3 linked regions of the Mus musculus genome follow. Each later gene encodes a partner of the first gene's protein in a complex. Links are inferred from orthologs where the notes say so. Each region holds a gene or a part of one and is shown in the gene's direction. Other genes may lie near its edges.

Region 1 (5,156 bases):
GGGCCCACCTACCCACCCACCCACATGAGTTCTCCCATACAGCTTCCAGGAAAGTTTGTGCAAACTCAGCACCCAGGGGCCCTTGCCCCCTTCACTTCTCACCCTTCCTCACTGGGTGTGGTCTTTGTAGAAAGCTCACTTTCATGCTGGTAGAAGGAAGGCAGGTGCTTGTCTTTAGTTTGTTCTGAGGTCCTGGTATGGTGCTAGAAACTCATTGTACCTGCCAGCCACATGGCTTGCCTGAACCCAGGCTCCTAAGTTGGTAGCCCCTGCCATTTGTCTGTGGGTACTCAGTATCCATGAAAACAACTACAGCTCTCACCTTAAAAGGAATAAGAGATAGTTTATTCTGGAGTCATTGTTAGTGACCATGGCCTGAGAACACAGATTTAGGTTACTCCAGATTCTGTGTTCCCATGGAGGTAGTTTCATGACGTTTTGTAGTTTTACAGAAGAAAATAGTAGTAAACAAGGCAAGTTTAAGTACATTGAAGGGTACATCAGAGAGATTGGTACAACAAGAGGAAGGAAGCTTTTCTGTAAGTCCAAGATGCCAACTGATGACATTCTTGGCTTTTGGTTAGTGGAAGCTACTGGTCTGCTAAAGGATTCCAAAAGGATGCTGGGTGTGGTGACACTTGCCTTTCCTACCAGCAGTCAGGGGGAAGAGGAAGCCACATCTCTGTGAGTTGTAGGCCAGCCTGATCACAAGATATTAGTTGCAACACAGGTAGGCAAGGAAGAGCTGTTCTAGAGGGGTAGAACTAGCCCAGGATAAGGCAGCCTCTGGAACTGCACCAGCCCAATTTCTCCACAGCACTGAAACTCTAATCAGCCAGTCTCTGTAGATACAGCTTCTTTTCAGGAATTCTCCTTCATGGCAGCAACAAATAAAGGCTGGCTGGCCAAAGTTTTCCTTCTAATTGGGCAGGCTTTAATCTTTCCCCAAAGAACTGATCCCCAACTTCACAGGTCAGTTGTTGGTATTGGTTCCATGAGGATGGCTCTGCAGCGATGAAGATTAAGCTCTGTCTGTAGTGGCCACTGCACAGGGTTTATGAAGCTGAGTTCCAGCCTCTTTTCTTGCCTGTCTCTTTGCCTCCTTCTCTCCCTTCAGGGCTCCCTGTCCCAGGTCTTTTAGGGAACACAATTCCTGATTTCCTATGCTGGCCTGCTAGACTCTCCTTTACTTGTATTATTAAAGTTCCCGGAGGGACTCAGAACAGCATCTGGCAAATGACAAGTGTTTAACAAACACTTAGGTGGATGGATGCCAGTTCCTTGGCAAGGGTGTGTGTGGCCATTTGTGCAAGAGAGCAGGGCTCCTGAGTGACAAACTCTCAATGCTGACTTTTTCCACAGTGCTAGAATCCCAGCACTCAGGAAGCAAATCTGCATGTTCAAGGCCCTCCTGGGCTACACATCAAGACCTTATTTCAAAAATACAGAAACCAAAAGCAAATCCTATAACTTGGGAGTATGTTACAAAGTTTAAACATGGGCTGGAGGGATGGCTTAGGACACTGCTCTTCCAGAGCACCCAGGTGTAGTTCCCAACACCTGAATGGTGGCCATTCCCCAAGAATCTGATACCCTCTTCTGGCCTTCCTGGGCACGATGCACAGATATATATGCAGATGAAGCATTCATATATAAACGATATTTAAGACAAATATCAGAAATGCTTAGTGACGAAATGCTTGAGAGCCCCATGCATCAGAGGCTCTCGACATCCCAAGCCCTATCCCCAGGGAGAAAGGCTGTTCATAATGAACACTGTTCTAGCCATGAAAACCTGGTCGGCCTGTAGGAGAGATGGGTGTGTTCATACCAGAAGCTCTCATCACAGTCACACCCATTTCGTGGCAGCTGTGGATCATTTTACGTATTTTTAGTCAGGCTCAAAGAAGTGACTCAGGTTTGTCAAGTTCTGTTCCCAAAGTGCAGCCTGCATGTGGGAGGGACAGACCTAGTGGGCGGTCTCCAGTAGGCAAAGTGAAAGGCTAGTTGGGGCCAGAGAAAGAGAAGCGGCGAAAGTCTCTACGCCCCGCCCTGGGCGGAAGAAAACGGATCGTCTGGGACCTCTTGCAGCGGCACCAGGTGAGCAAGGGCCATGTTCCGGGGCGCCCGGCTGCCTTTGAGAGTTTTTTTCGGGTCCCTTCCTGGCCCTCTTAATACGTGGCAGAGCGGCTGGACCAGAAGGTTTGAGGGATCAAAAAATTGGGCGGGGGCGGGATCACGGGCCCGGCGAGTCTCTGAGGCCTGTTCCTCCCTTAGGGTGACACATTTGTGCCTCAGAGGAGCCTTGCTTGGTGCTTGAAGGCTGACCTCATAGCTCCGTCGCCAGCGACCTGTTCGCTCGCTCACTTTAAGGCCCAAAGAGGGTGTCTTCAGATCCTAGGATTAACCCAACAGCTAGGAGCAGCTAGTTAGCAATATCCAATCACATCAAAGCAGAGGCCTGAATCATGCTTCTAAGCCAGGCTGGTGGGACCTCCTGCCTGGTCCCAAGGCCAAACAGGGGGAGGAGTGTGGGAGAAGAACCAGCTGCCTGGGTTCTTTCACATCCCTTGCCCCTGACCTCAGATGATCGTCAGGACTGGCTGGCACCCTGCCTCCCATAAAGTCCAGTCCTGTGCTTTCCTCAAAGGTAGATACTCTAGGACCCTGTAGTCTGTAGTGCATAAGAGAGCAGGTGTGGGTTGCACCTGTGACTAGAAGTACTGTAGCTACCCCACCCCAGTGGCAGTGCCCTAGTGATGACTGGCTTTGGATGACACATCTGATCCAGGCAGTGCTGGTTTTACTCCCTGGCGAGTTGTGGGTGGGGCTAACTGGTTTCTCCATGCCCTGGCTATATGTCCACAGTGAGTTATCTCTGCCGTTGCCTCAGTTTTCCCTGTCACTAGCCCTTGTGTCAATATGTGTAAAGTGCTCCTGGTTAGCATTAAGGGGGTATCCTCCTAGCCCTGGGAAGGAAGGGGAAGACCCCGTTAGTAAAGCCATGTTGTGCCAGGCACTGTAACTTCACACAGAGCTGTTTGCCAGTTTCGGTAACTGTTATAGAGAGCAGCTGAAGTGACTTCTGTTTCTCTTAAACAGAACCTAGTACCGCTCTCCCTTCAGTGCTAGGAGCACAGCACTGATCTCTTCTTTCAAGCCTTCCAGGATACCCACATGCTGTCCAGGCTAGCTTGCTTGACAGATAGTTGCTTAGGAATGTGGAGACATGGGTATTTGTCTCTAGGCCTCAGATACATCCTTCCACAGCCAGTGCCTGTCATGCTTATTCAGGTTGTCAGAGCCTGTAACCTGTTTGTCCCAGCTTTCCTAGTGTGATACACTGCCTGGATCCTTTGCAGGCTGGGCCTGAGCTGGCTGAGGATTGTGAGAAGTTGGTCCTGGCCTGAGTCCCTAGACTCAGAAGGAAGTCACAGAAGCAAAAGCTATAGTGACTGCCTCTGAATACTCTCCTTTTCCCCCAGAGTCCTGTGCCTTCCTGCCCTTAAGGTGGTTGCTTGTGTCCAGGCTTCATGCTCCCTGGCCTTTGACTTTGTATAGGGCTTGGCAACAGTAGAGTATGGTGCTGGACCAACTTGTTCTCAGAGTAAGAAGTAGGCTGAATCAGCAGTAAGCCCCACTACTGGAGTTTCCAGACCGTAGCCAGGCTCCCACAAATAAGCAGGTTTCCAGGCCAGAGTTGGTATCCTGGTGCTGGGTGACTGGGTTCCTTCAGAGGCTAGGGGGTGACTGTGTCGCATAGTCCTAGGCTCTCAGGTTCTGCTCCTCTTAATGGTACCATGTAGTTAGCTTCTCCCTGATAACTTATTTCCGGGATACTCAATGTGTGGACAGACTTGCTGGGGAGAGGCTGGGCCCCTACTGGAAAAAAATACTCTCTTAACTTTTGGACTCATCTTTTTACAAATTCTAGCCTGTCGAGATAAGAAATTTTCTCAAGAGCTCTCTTCCTTCTTCTTTTGCCCAGACTGCACTGTGCACCCACCATGAGTCTTGACATCCAGTGTGAGCAGCTGAGTGATGCCCGGTGGACAGAGCTCCTTCCTCTGATCCAGCAATACGAAGTGGTCAGGTAGGAGCAACCTTGGGGACCAGTTGGGTCTGGCTGGGAGGGCAGTACTCTGTTGTGGAGGTGGGTGGTTCTTGTAGCTTGGGGCCACCTGATGGGCTTGGTGTGTTCCAATAGTACTTTCTCTATTCGTGGGCATGAAGATGTTTTGCATAATCTTTATTTATTTATTTTTTTAGAATTAACACAGGAAGCCTTTATTAAAGATTATGGAAAATTACTCATAGGCAACAATATACAGGTTAACACACCTCAATTGCTAACACGTGACTGGTTACTAGCAAAGAACTTGTCCTAACTGAAGTCCAGATACATTCTAATGATCTAGCATGAAATCTTTGCATCTTTAAAACGGCCAGCATGTCATAGCCATGCAGATCTGATTCTAGGGCAGTGGGACACGCAGAAGGGGTGGGGCAGGATCCTAGTACATTGATTAAAAACTTTAGGAAACTATCTTCAGGGTAATCAGTTACAAGGCCATTCAAGGAAACTCACATGGCCCTCACTCTTTATTTGTAAACTGGACTTCACCTATTTCAGCTTCGATACTAATCCTCAAGTGGAATACAGGCAAGCCTGGTCGCTACATGCAAGAGTACTTCACCTTGGAGCCATTCAGTCACGAGTTTCTTGTAGTTTTCAACCTACGCTTGTGTCAGAGGCAGCAGCACGGCTGGGCAGTGGGGACCGGCTCGGGTGGATCGGCCACCAAGGCCGGGACCGAAAGCTGTTTTGCATAATCTTCATGAGATTTTCATGAGTTATTCTTGAGTTTTTCAACATTTTTGTACATTTGTTTTTAGACAAGGTCTCACTCTATAGCTCTTACTGACATGGAATTGGGCAATTGATTTCCAACACAGTATAAACCGAGCATGGTGGCACAAGCCTATATCTCAGCATTGGGAAGGTGGATGCAGGAGAATCAGAAGCCTAAGATCATTTTCTGACCTTGGTACATAGTTTGAAGTTAGTCTGAGACATACAAGTTTAAAAATAACTACAGGTTGTGTAGCTCATGTAGGTAAGGCAGTAGAACTTGCCCAGCACGCATGTATCATGT
Region 2 (4,461 bases), on another chromosome or scaffold:
CCAAAAAATAAGGTGGGGAGGAAAGGGCTTATTTGGCTTATACTTCCATATCACTGTTCATCGTTGAAGGAACTCTGGACAGGAACTCAACAGGGTGAAAACCTGGAGGCAGGAGCTGATGCAGAGGGCGTGGGGCCAGGGGTGGGGGTGCTTTTTACTGACTTGCTCCCCATGGATTGCTCTACCGGCTTTCTTGTAGAACCCAGGATCCCCATCTCAGGGATGGCTTTATCCACAATGAGCTGGTCCCTTCCCTCTTGATCATAAAGGAAGTACCCTTCAGTTGGATATTATGGAGGCATTTTCTCAATTGAGTTTCCCTCCTTAGATAGCTGGAGCTTGTGTCAAGTTGACATAAAACTATCCGGTACAGACCTCAGTTGATGAGAGTTTCCTGAGGCATCCCACAGCTGCCGCCAACATGCTAGACTTCAAGGAAGCTAAGATGCCTTTGGATGAGGCCCTCACTTCACACAGAGACTAGTACCACACTGGCAGTCCTCATAGTCACAGGACTCTCTGAGCTCTCCTGCATCTGCTCTCTCTCATCCTGCCTGGTGATGAGGTGACAGTCACAGGATAAGATCAACAGCCCCCCTTATTAAAGCAGCTAGTTGAACCGTTCTGGTCTGGCTTGTTTGCAAAGGCCCTGGCCAAGGTCAACATGAAGTTTCATCTGCAATGTAGGGACTGGTAGGCTGTTCCTGCCCCCTCCACCACTGCTGCCACTTCAGAGAAGAAAGTGGAAGCAAAGAAGGAAGAAACTGGGAGTCGGATGATGGATGATGACATGGGCTTTCGTCCTCTTGGATAAGCCTCTTTTGTTAACATGCTTAACTGAAGGCTGAACCTGTTGAAAAGAAACAACCGCGAACAACAAGAAGAATTTCCCCAGGAGTCTCATGCTAGGGAAAGAAAGACTGTGAGGGGCCTTGTGCTAGTCAGAGAGGGAATTGTGTCTTAGAAAGAGCTTTCATACCAGTCTGACAACTTGTCTGACCACCTTGTAGGACAGACTGGAGTCAAGCCAGGGATGAGTCAGTGATGGGTGGGGCCAAACTTTGATCCTGATTGATTATTTATATAATAAATGCCTTTTGTCATCCACTTAAGCCTAAAGCTCATGTCAGGACCCTTCACAGGACTCTTGGACACCTGCCTCTGCCCCCCAAGTGTTGGGATTAAAGGCATGAGACACCACTGCCCAGCTTTTTTTTTTTTTAATTTTTTTCTTTTTCAGATTTATTTATTTATTTTATGTATATGAGTACACTGTCACTGTCCTTAGACACACACCAGAAGCCACCATGAGGTTGCTGGGAATTGAACTCGGGACCTCTGGAAGAGTAGTCTGTGCTCTTAACTACTGAGCCATCTCTCCAGCCCCTTCACTGGACTCTCTTTACTCCCTTTCCCAATTAGCCACATTGAATGCACTGTATTTTTCCACTTTTTTGATATTATTTGTCGATAATTGGTCTATTGAGGATGAGTGGCTGAGTTTGGCTTGGCAAGTCTGCCACAACCCAGACTTTCACCCTACCAACTCCACTAGTAGGGAACCCTTCAAGCTGCAGACAGGACGGCCTCTTATTTTCTCCCCAAGAGAAGCACGGCTGGGAGATCTGGAATTCTGACTACCATCAATTTGATTCAAATAGAGAAGGAGGGCTTCCCTCTTCCATGATTCCCAGGATCTCTGTGTGTCCTTTGTTAACCTCCAGGTTGTATATGATGCAAACAGCATGCTCATAAATTACAAGGCTTTGTGAAAGACTGTGAAGTGTATGTGCCATTGTCCCTGTGGCTAGCTCTGCTGCCCCTTGGGAATCAGCACAGGAGGCACAAAAGGTGTTTTCTCTTTCCTGGCAGCCTTCTGGGGATTTCCTTTCCAAGGTTTCAATGCCCTTGTTTTTATTATTCAGATAAGATTGACCCAGATTTACTCCGCCCATTTTTTCTTAGAAGCCAACCCCTTGGAATCCTTTTAAACTCCACACCACAGAGACTGTGTGACTGAAGAAACTGACTTCCAATTCGTCTTGGAGTTCAAACTAAAATTTTAGGTAAGTGGCCTCAGTAACTATTTCTGCTTGAGAGTTAGAACTGAGAGAGTCCAGGCCAGGCACTCTTGACTGACACCAACTCCAGAAAAGCTGAGCCCAGCAAACAGCTGGAGGCAGGGGTGGAGGCATGGCACAGTCAGATATAAAGAACGAGTGGGTCGGGGAGGATGGAGCTCCCAAGCTGGGGAAGGGAGCACGTGTCTTTAGACTAAAACCCAAACCCTGTATACTGCCAGAGTCAGGCACTAGACCAAGTTCCCCTATGTCATAAGATAATGAGACTACAGCCACAGTCCTGGATGTCAGTAAAGACCCAGAAATACAACTTAGCTTAAGGCGTCTTCCAAATGACCTTCTGACGAGGTATTTGGACACTATTTACAAATGTGCTCTAGTTTTCAAATGTATTTTATATGAGAAAAAAAAAAAAACCCAACCCTATTGAGCATTTTGCCAAGAGTTTAGGAGACACAGCCCACCACCTAGAGAAAAGAATGGCTTCTCTTCAGTAGGTAATGAAGAAAAACTGTCTCACTTGCAGGATCTCTCAGCAGAGGGAAATCTTTCTGGCTCACCTAAAGAATGGGACAGTCTTGAGATTGGGGCGTATGCTGGTGGCTGCAGGGACTAGGGTAGTGGTGGAGGGAGTGCTGGGGAGTCTGGGGAGATTGTGCTGGGGAGGCTGGGGGTGTTAATGTGTAAGGAAGCTGAGGTGGGAGAGTCTTCTGTGGAGACAGAGGTGGGTGCTGCAGCTCTTCTGAGCATTTGTCCTTTTTTTCTCTTCCTTTCCTTTCAGGCTTTTCCGAGCAGCCAAGCCACCATGGGTCTGGAGAAGTCCCTCATTCTGTTTCCATTGTTTGTCCTGCTGCTTGGATGGGTCCAGCCTTCCCTGGGCAGGGAATCTGCAGCACAGAAGTTTCAGCGGCAGCACATGGATCCAGATGGTTCCTCCATCAACAGCCCCACCTACTGCAACCAAATGATGAAACGCCGGGATATGACAAATGGGTCATGCAAGCCCGTGAACACCTTCGTGCATGAGCCCTTGGCAGATGTCCAGGCTGTCTGCTCCCAGGAAAATGTCACCTGCAAGAACAGGAAGAGCAACTGCTACAAGAGCAGCTCTGCCCTGCACATCACTGACTGCCACCTGAAGGGCAACTCCAAGTATCCCAACTGTGACTACAAGACCACTCAATACCAGAAGCACATCATTGTGGCCTGTGAAGGGAACCCCTACGTACCAGTCCACTTTGATGCTACTGTGTAGGGCTCCACATAGGCCAAACCAGTGAGATGTCTATGTCTCCCAACCTCATCACCTGTCTCCCCTCTGTCTACCATTCTTTCTCTGAAAGAAGTAAGTCATGTTAGGACTTCCATATGACAAAACATGCGTTCCTGTCCTGTGTCATGCTCCCAGATCCCTCTCTTGCTGTAGACAAATGAAGCAAGATGGCCCTCACCAGAACATGTCCCTTCAACCTTAGACTTTCTTGACTTTAGAAAACAACCAAATAAAATTCTGTTCATCATAAATTGTGCATTTAGGGCAGTTCGAAGTGGAGTAAGGACAATGGGCAAGTCACCTCATTCATTGGTCCAGAATTTCCTCACTCCTGACTACTTTAACTACACTATTGAAACTAGACTTTTCTGCCTCTCTGCTGATCATTCATTCTTCGCATATACAATAAAGTCTAACATCTATTTCAGCACTCAGTAGCCATAGCTCCCAAGTCCATCTGCTCCTCATACCAATACAGATCAGTCACATCTACTGAAGAGAGTTCTTCCATTAAGAGAGTAGAAGATGGTTACCTTTGCCTCTGCCTTTCAGCTATCTTCTTCCATCCATGTTTCACTTTGTACTTTCTTTCTCATTGTAAGTGAAAAGCAGCATCCAGTCTTGCCTTCCAGGGGCTGCTTCCTACTCTCCTGCCTCCTTACCTTGACTCAGACCTCATGGAACAAATAGGAATGTGGAGGGTAGGGGGTGGGGAGGCTTCAGTTTTAACAACCACAGTGGAAATCCAATTTCGATGATGCTTTTGGGAAACAGTCACATGCACAGCCTTGCCTACGGATGATCCAGGATTCAAGGCGCGGTTCTCCATGGAAGGTGTAGAGTGGAGGTATGTTTCTATAAGAACCAGCCACCAGCACTCCTGGAACAAACTGTAGAGTTCCTCTGCAGATTAGTCAATAGTTTTAGGTATATTGGGGTTTTCCTTTAACAATTTGAGTAGCACAGAGTGTCCTGAAGCTTAGTATGTAACCAGTGTTGGCCTTGAACTCTTGCTTCTGCTTCCCCAACCTCTCAAGTACTGGGCTCTTAGGTGTGTGCCACTGTGCCCCAGCTATTTTTGGTGGGAAAGAACTTCTTCCAAGTAGG
Region 3 (3,560 bases), on another chromosome or scaffold:
CCCACTGCATCCTAGCTTCTTCCTGCTGAGTCTTACTTCCTAAAGCTGAGCATCCACTCACAGCAGCACAGGCTGCTTACAACCTGGCTCATAAGCTGGGTCTGGAAGTGCAAGCCAGGGACCCTAGAACTTCCAGCCTGAGGCAGGACAGAAAAATTTGAATCCAATCTGGGTTTCTAAGCAAGTTCAAACCAAACCCAGGCTTACTCACACTCCACACTCCTTAGCACCCCGCAAAAGATCAGTCCCTAAAAAAACGGGTTCCTGTGACAATTTTATAAATGTTGTCCACTGTCATTTCCATAGACAGCCAGAGCACTTGGCAGAGCTGTGTCAAATACTACTCTGACAATGGGCATCTGTCAGTCAGTAGGTAGGTCAACAGTAGTCATTGTAAGAGGATCCCAGGTTTGAAGAAATTCCAAGTTTTGGACACAATGTCTCACCAATTGAATCTGAACAAAAAACATCTATCAGCCGGGAGTGGTGGCCCACGCCTTTAATCCCAGCACACAGGAGGCAGAGGCAGTCGGATTTCTGAGTTCGAGGCCAGCCTGGTCTACAAAGTTAGTTCCAGGACAGCCAGGGCTATACAGAGAAACCCTGTCTCAAAAAAAAAATCTATCAGTTGGGACAGCAAAATATTCACTGTAGCTTATAGGTCAAGTGCAGAAGTATTTCTTGAGACCATACCTTATGATATTCATCAAATTTGGAAAGAAAAACCCAAGGGCTTACTACTAGGATATAACTCATGATGTACTTCACAACAGAACTGGGAGCAGGTCTGGAGATGTGTCAGTGGATGGGAATGCAAGGGAGGTTTGCATAACAAAAAAACTTAGGCATTTAAACTATGGAAGCCAAAACTCTCTCTCTATGTGATGCTAGGGATGTACCTCAGTGGCAGTTCATATCTCTAGATTGTAAAAGGCCCCAGGTTCAAACCCCAGCACAAAGAAAAACAGAAACAAAAATTCTGTTGGGGTTATTGCATCTTTTTAAACATTGGCTTATAGTAACTCCGGCATCTTAGATAAAGAGGTATTCTTCTGAGGGTCCATGGTGTAAAACTAGACCATCAGTAGTAGCTCTGGAACAAATGAGGGTAGATGGAAATGTAGAAAGGAATCTTATACAGGAAACAATCAGAAAAATACTATGAACTATGCCGTGACTACAGTGTTTTGTTATTGTTTCTATATGCAATATTTAAAGTTTATCTTTTAGTTTTCACATGTGTCTGCATCCACATGTGCCATGCATGTGCAGGTACTAACAAAAGCCAAACAGGTGTCCAATTCCCATGGACCAAGAGTTATCACAAGCTGTGGCCTCTGGGTGACAAACTGGGGTCCTCTGGAAGGGGAGGAATCTGGAAGAGAGGAAGTTCTCTTAACCACTGTCATCTCACTGAACTCTAAGACCTATTTTTACTTGTGTGTCTCTGTGTGTGTCTGTGCACATGTGTATGAACATGCCAAAAGATGCTATTAGAAGACATGAGATGTCCTGGGATGGAGTTAAAAGCAATTGTAAGCCATCCAGCACAGGTGCTGAAACCAACCTTGGGTCCTCTGGAGAGCATCAAGTACTCTTAACAACCGAGCTATCTCTGCAGACCTCAACATCATATAATTTTAAGATGCAAGACAGAAAGGTAAATATCTCTTATGATTCAGGCTTCCCAAGACTTTCTAAAAGTGTGTAGTCAGGCTAATAGGAAACTTGTCTGTCCCTTACTGAAAACAGTCAACAGGCAATACAGAGATTTCTATGTAGTGTTCAAATTTAGACTTCAAACTGACCTGCACAAGAGGGCTTGGAATTTCTTCTTTACAATGGAGCCAGCAGCACCATGGCTTGGCCAAGTGAAGAAACAGAAGGCTGGTTACACAAGCAGGCAATGTACCAATCTGTGGGTTCTGCATGTTGAAGACTCTGAGCCACCAGCTCCACCCACAGAGCCTGCTGTATATCTATGGGCCCAAGTAGAGCTCACCCATTATCCCTGATTTCCAGGACAACCAGTGCTCAGTTCCACGGGAGCCACAACACAGACTGGGTAAGACACTGACTATCTAGGCCTGGGACAGGAGAGGCGGGTGATGGGGCAGAGTCCAGGAAAAGTGTCACTGTGGACCCACAGTGACAGCAGAGGGCCTTCAGGAAGACATAGGGAAAACTGAGGTAGCGTGGGAGTAGTCACTTCTCTTCTGTCCTCACAGGAAACATGGGTCCGAAGCTGCTTGAGTCCCAACTTTGTCTCCTGCTGATGCTGGGACTTGTCCTAATGCTTGCCTCATGCCAGAAACCAACCGCATCCCAGTGGTTTGCTACCCAGCATATCACTTATAAAGCCAACCTCCAATGTAATGTTGAAATGCAGGCTATTAACATGCATAGACCAAGATGTAAGGGCTTAAATACTTTTCTTCATACAAGTTTTATTAATGTTGTTGGTGTGTGTAGCAATCCAAGTGGCTTGTGCAGCGACAAAATAAGTCAAAACTGTCATAATAGTTCGTCTCGGGTACCTATAACTGTCTGTAACCTCACAACTCCGAGAAGAAATTATACCCAATGCAGATACCAAACAAAGGGATCAGTGGAGTACTACACAGTTGCCTGTGAGCCCAGAGTTGCATGGGATTGTCCCATCTATCCAGTGGTTCCAGTTCACTTGGATGGGACATTTTAGCTCCAGTGCCAGCACTTTGTACCTTCGATCATCTGCTACTGCCAAGATCATAGTAGTGAAGAACCAATTCCTCTGTCTGCGCTGCATATCAGCACCTGTCCTCATGAAACCTGTCCCTGACTCCCTTTAACTCAGCTGAATAGATCTTTTCTAATTAATAAACACATTTGCATACAAATCTAGATCTCTGGTATCTCTGTGTCTGACAGGGTTGGGGAGAAAGGAACAGGGAGAGACATACACAGAGAAGAGTGTGTTTGTGTGTGTGTGTGTGTGTGTGTGTGTGTGTGTGTGTGTGTGTGTGTGTGTGTTGAGGCAGGGCCTCATACCAATTGAGGCATCTACCCAGTGCCTGGAAACAAATGAATCTGAGAAGAGATGGACATCTTTCCTGAAAGTTCCCACACAGCATCTTACCTGAAGTTTCTCTGTGGGAAAGAAGTGGCTGGCAGAGGAAGTCAGGGAGCTGAGATCTCTCAGTGAGGCTATCCCTTGCCCTCTCCCTGCATAGCTGTCCTTAGAGATCAATTGTGAGAACATTCAACACAAACCAGAAGGACAGACTCCAAGATAAGGGAACTGGAATCTGCACAGGAAAGAGATGAATAATGAGAGAGCCTACCCTGGGGTTACAGATGATTGTTAGCTACTTGGGAACTAGGAATCAAACGCAGGTCCTCTGCAAGAGCGGTCAGTGTTCTTAACTGCTGAGATATCTCTCCACCTCAATGGATTTTTAAAAGTGGTGTGTGTGTGTGTGTGTGTGTGTGTGTGTGTGTGTGTGTGTGTGTGTGTGTGTGTGTATACTTATATGTATGAATATGCATGGATTTAGATGAAAAGCAAAGATGAAATCTTA

What was found. The genes of interacting proteins can lie anywhere in the genome.
Region 2: the proteins of Rnh1 (region 1) and Rnase1 are in contact, whole or in part, in a crystal structure (PDB 3TSR), measured with the Mus musculus proteins. Residues at the interface, in NP_001165571.1 of Mus musculus: Cys7, Asp32, Thr60, Asn89, Asp117, Glu145, Tyr146, Asn174, Glu202, Trp257, Trp259, Glu283, Ser285, Trp314, Lys316, Glu340, Glu397, Ser401, Asn402, Gln426, Val428, Tyr430, Asp431, Ile432, Tyr433, Trp434, Thr435, Asn436, Glu437, Arg443; in NP_035401.2 of Mus musculus: Arg26 (codon at 2,962), Glu27 (codon at 2,965), Lys32 (codon at 2,980), Gln36 (codon at 2,992), Pro48 (codon at 3,028), Thr49 (codon at 3,031), Gln53 (codon at 3,043), Lys56 (codon at 3,052), Arg57 (codon at 3,055), Met60 (codon at 3,064), Asn62 (codon at 3,070), Gly63 (codon at 3,073), Ser64 (codon at 3,076), Cys65 (codon at 3,079), Lys66 (codon at 3,082), Pro67 (codon at 3,085), Val68 (codon at 3,088), Asn92 (codon at 3,160), Lys94 (codon at 3,166), Asn96 (codon at 3,172), Leu111 (codon at 3,217), Lys112 (codon at 3,220), Gly113 (codon at 3,223), Asn114 (codon at 3,226), Ser115 (codon at 3,229), Lys116 (codon at 3,232), Asp121 (codon at 3,247), Ala134 (codon at 3,286), Glu136 (codon at 3,292), Val143 (codon at 3,313).
Region 3: the proteins of Rnh1 (region 1) and Ear6 are in contact, whole or in part, in a crystal structure (PDB 2BEX), measured with the Homo sapiens proteins. The link is inferred for Mus musculus from reciprocal best matches to the Homo sapiens genes RNH1 and RNASE2. Residues at the interface, in NP_002930.2 of Homo sapiens: Gln11, Cys12, Arg34, Asp36, Asp37, Arg64, Ser65, Gln93, Asn94, Asp122, Gln148, Glu150, Tyr151, Thr176, Lys205, Trp262, Trp264, Glu265, Trp319, Lys321, Gln347, Ser349, Asn350, Trp376, Ala378, Asp379, Glu402, Asp404, Asn407, Cys409; in NP_002925.1 of Homo sapiens: Lys28, Trp34, Trp37, Gln41, His42, Ser47, Gln49, Thr51, Asn52, Gln55, Val56, Asn59, Gln61, Arg62, Arg63, Cys64, Lys65, Asn66, Gln67, Ser91, Asn92, Arg95, Asn97, Asn111, Leu112, Thr113, Thr114, Pro115, Asn119, Ile120.

Annotation. Positions count from the first base shown.
Region 1 is NC_000073.6:141,165,620-141,170,775, reverse strand, and holds the start of Rnh1 (ribonuclease inhibitor), read left to right. Parts: upstream 1-1,839; 5' UTR 1,840-2,100; exon of another isoform or gene 2,101-2,113; coding exon of another isoform or gene 2,114-2,202; intron 2,203-3,988; coding exon of another isoform or gene 3,989-4,007; coding exon 4,008-4,093; intron 4,094-5,156. UniProt on the Homo sapiens protein: Ribonuclease inhibitor which inhibits RNASE1, RNASE2 and angiogenin (ANG). May play a role in redox homeostasis. Required to inhibit the cytotoxic tRNA ribonuclease activity of ANG in the cytoplasm in absence of stress.
Region 2 is NC_000080.6:51,144,321-51,148,781, reverse strand, and holds Rnase1 (ribonuclease pancreatic precursor), read left to right. Parts: upstream 1-2,014; 5' UTR 2,015-2,066; intron 2,067-2,862; 5' UTR 2,863-2,886; coding exon 2,887-3,336; 3' UTR 3,337-3,780; downstream 3,781-4,461. UniProt on the Homo sapiens protein: Endonuclease that catalyzes the cleavage of RNA on the 3' side of pyrimidine nucleotides. Acts on single-stranded and double-stranded RNA.
Region 3 is NC_000080.6:51,851,765-51,855,324, forward strand, and holds Ear6 (non-secretory ribonuclease precursor), read left to right. Parts: upstream 1-2,003; 5' UTR 2,004-2,065; intron 2,066-2,228; 5' UTR 2,229-2,233; coding exon 2,234-2,701; 3' UTR 2,702-2,879; downstream 2,880-3,560.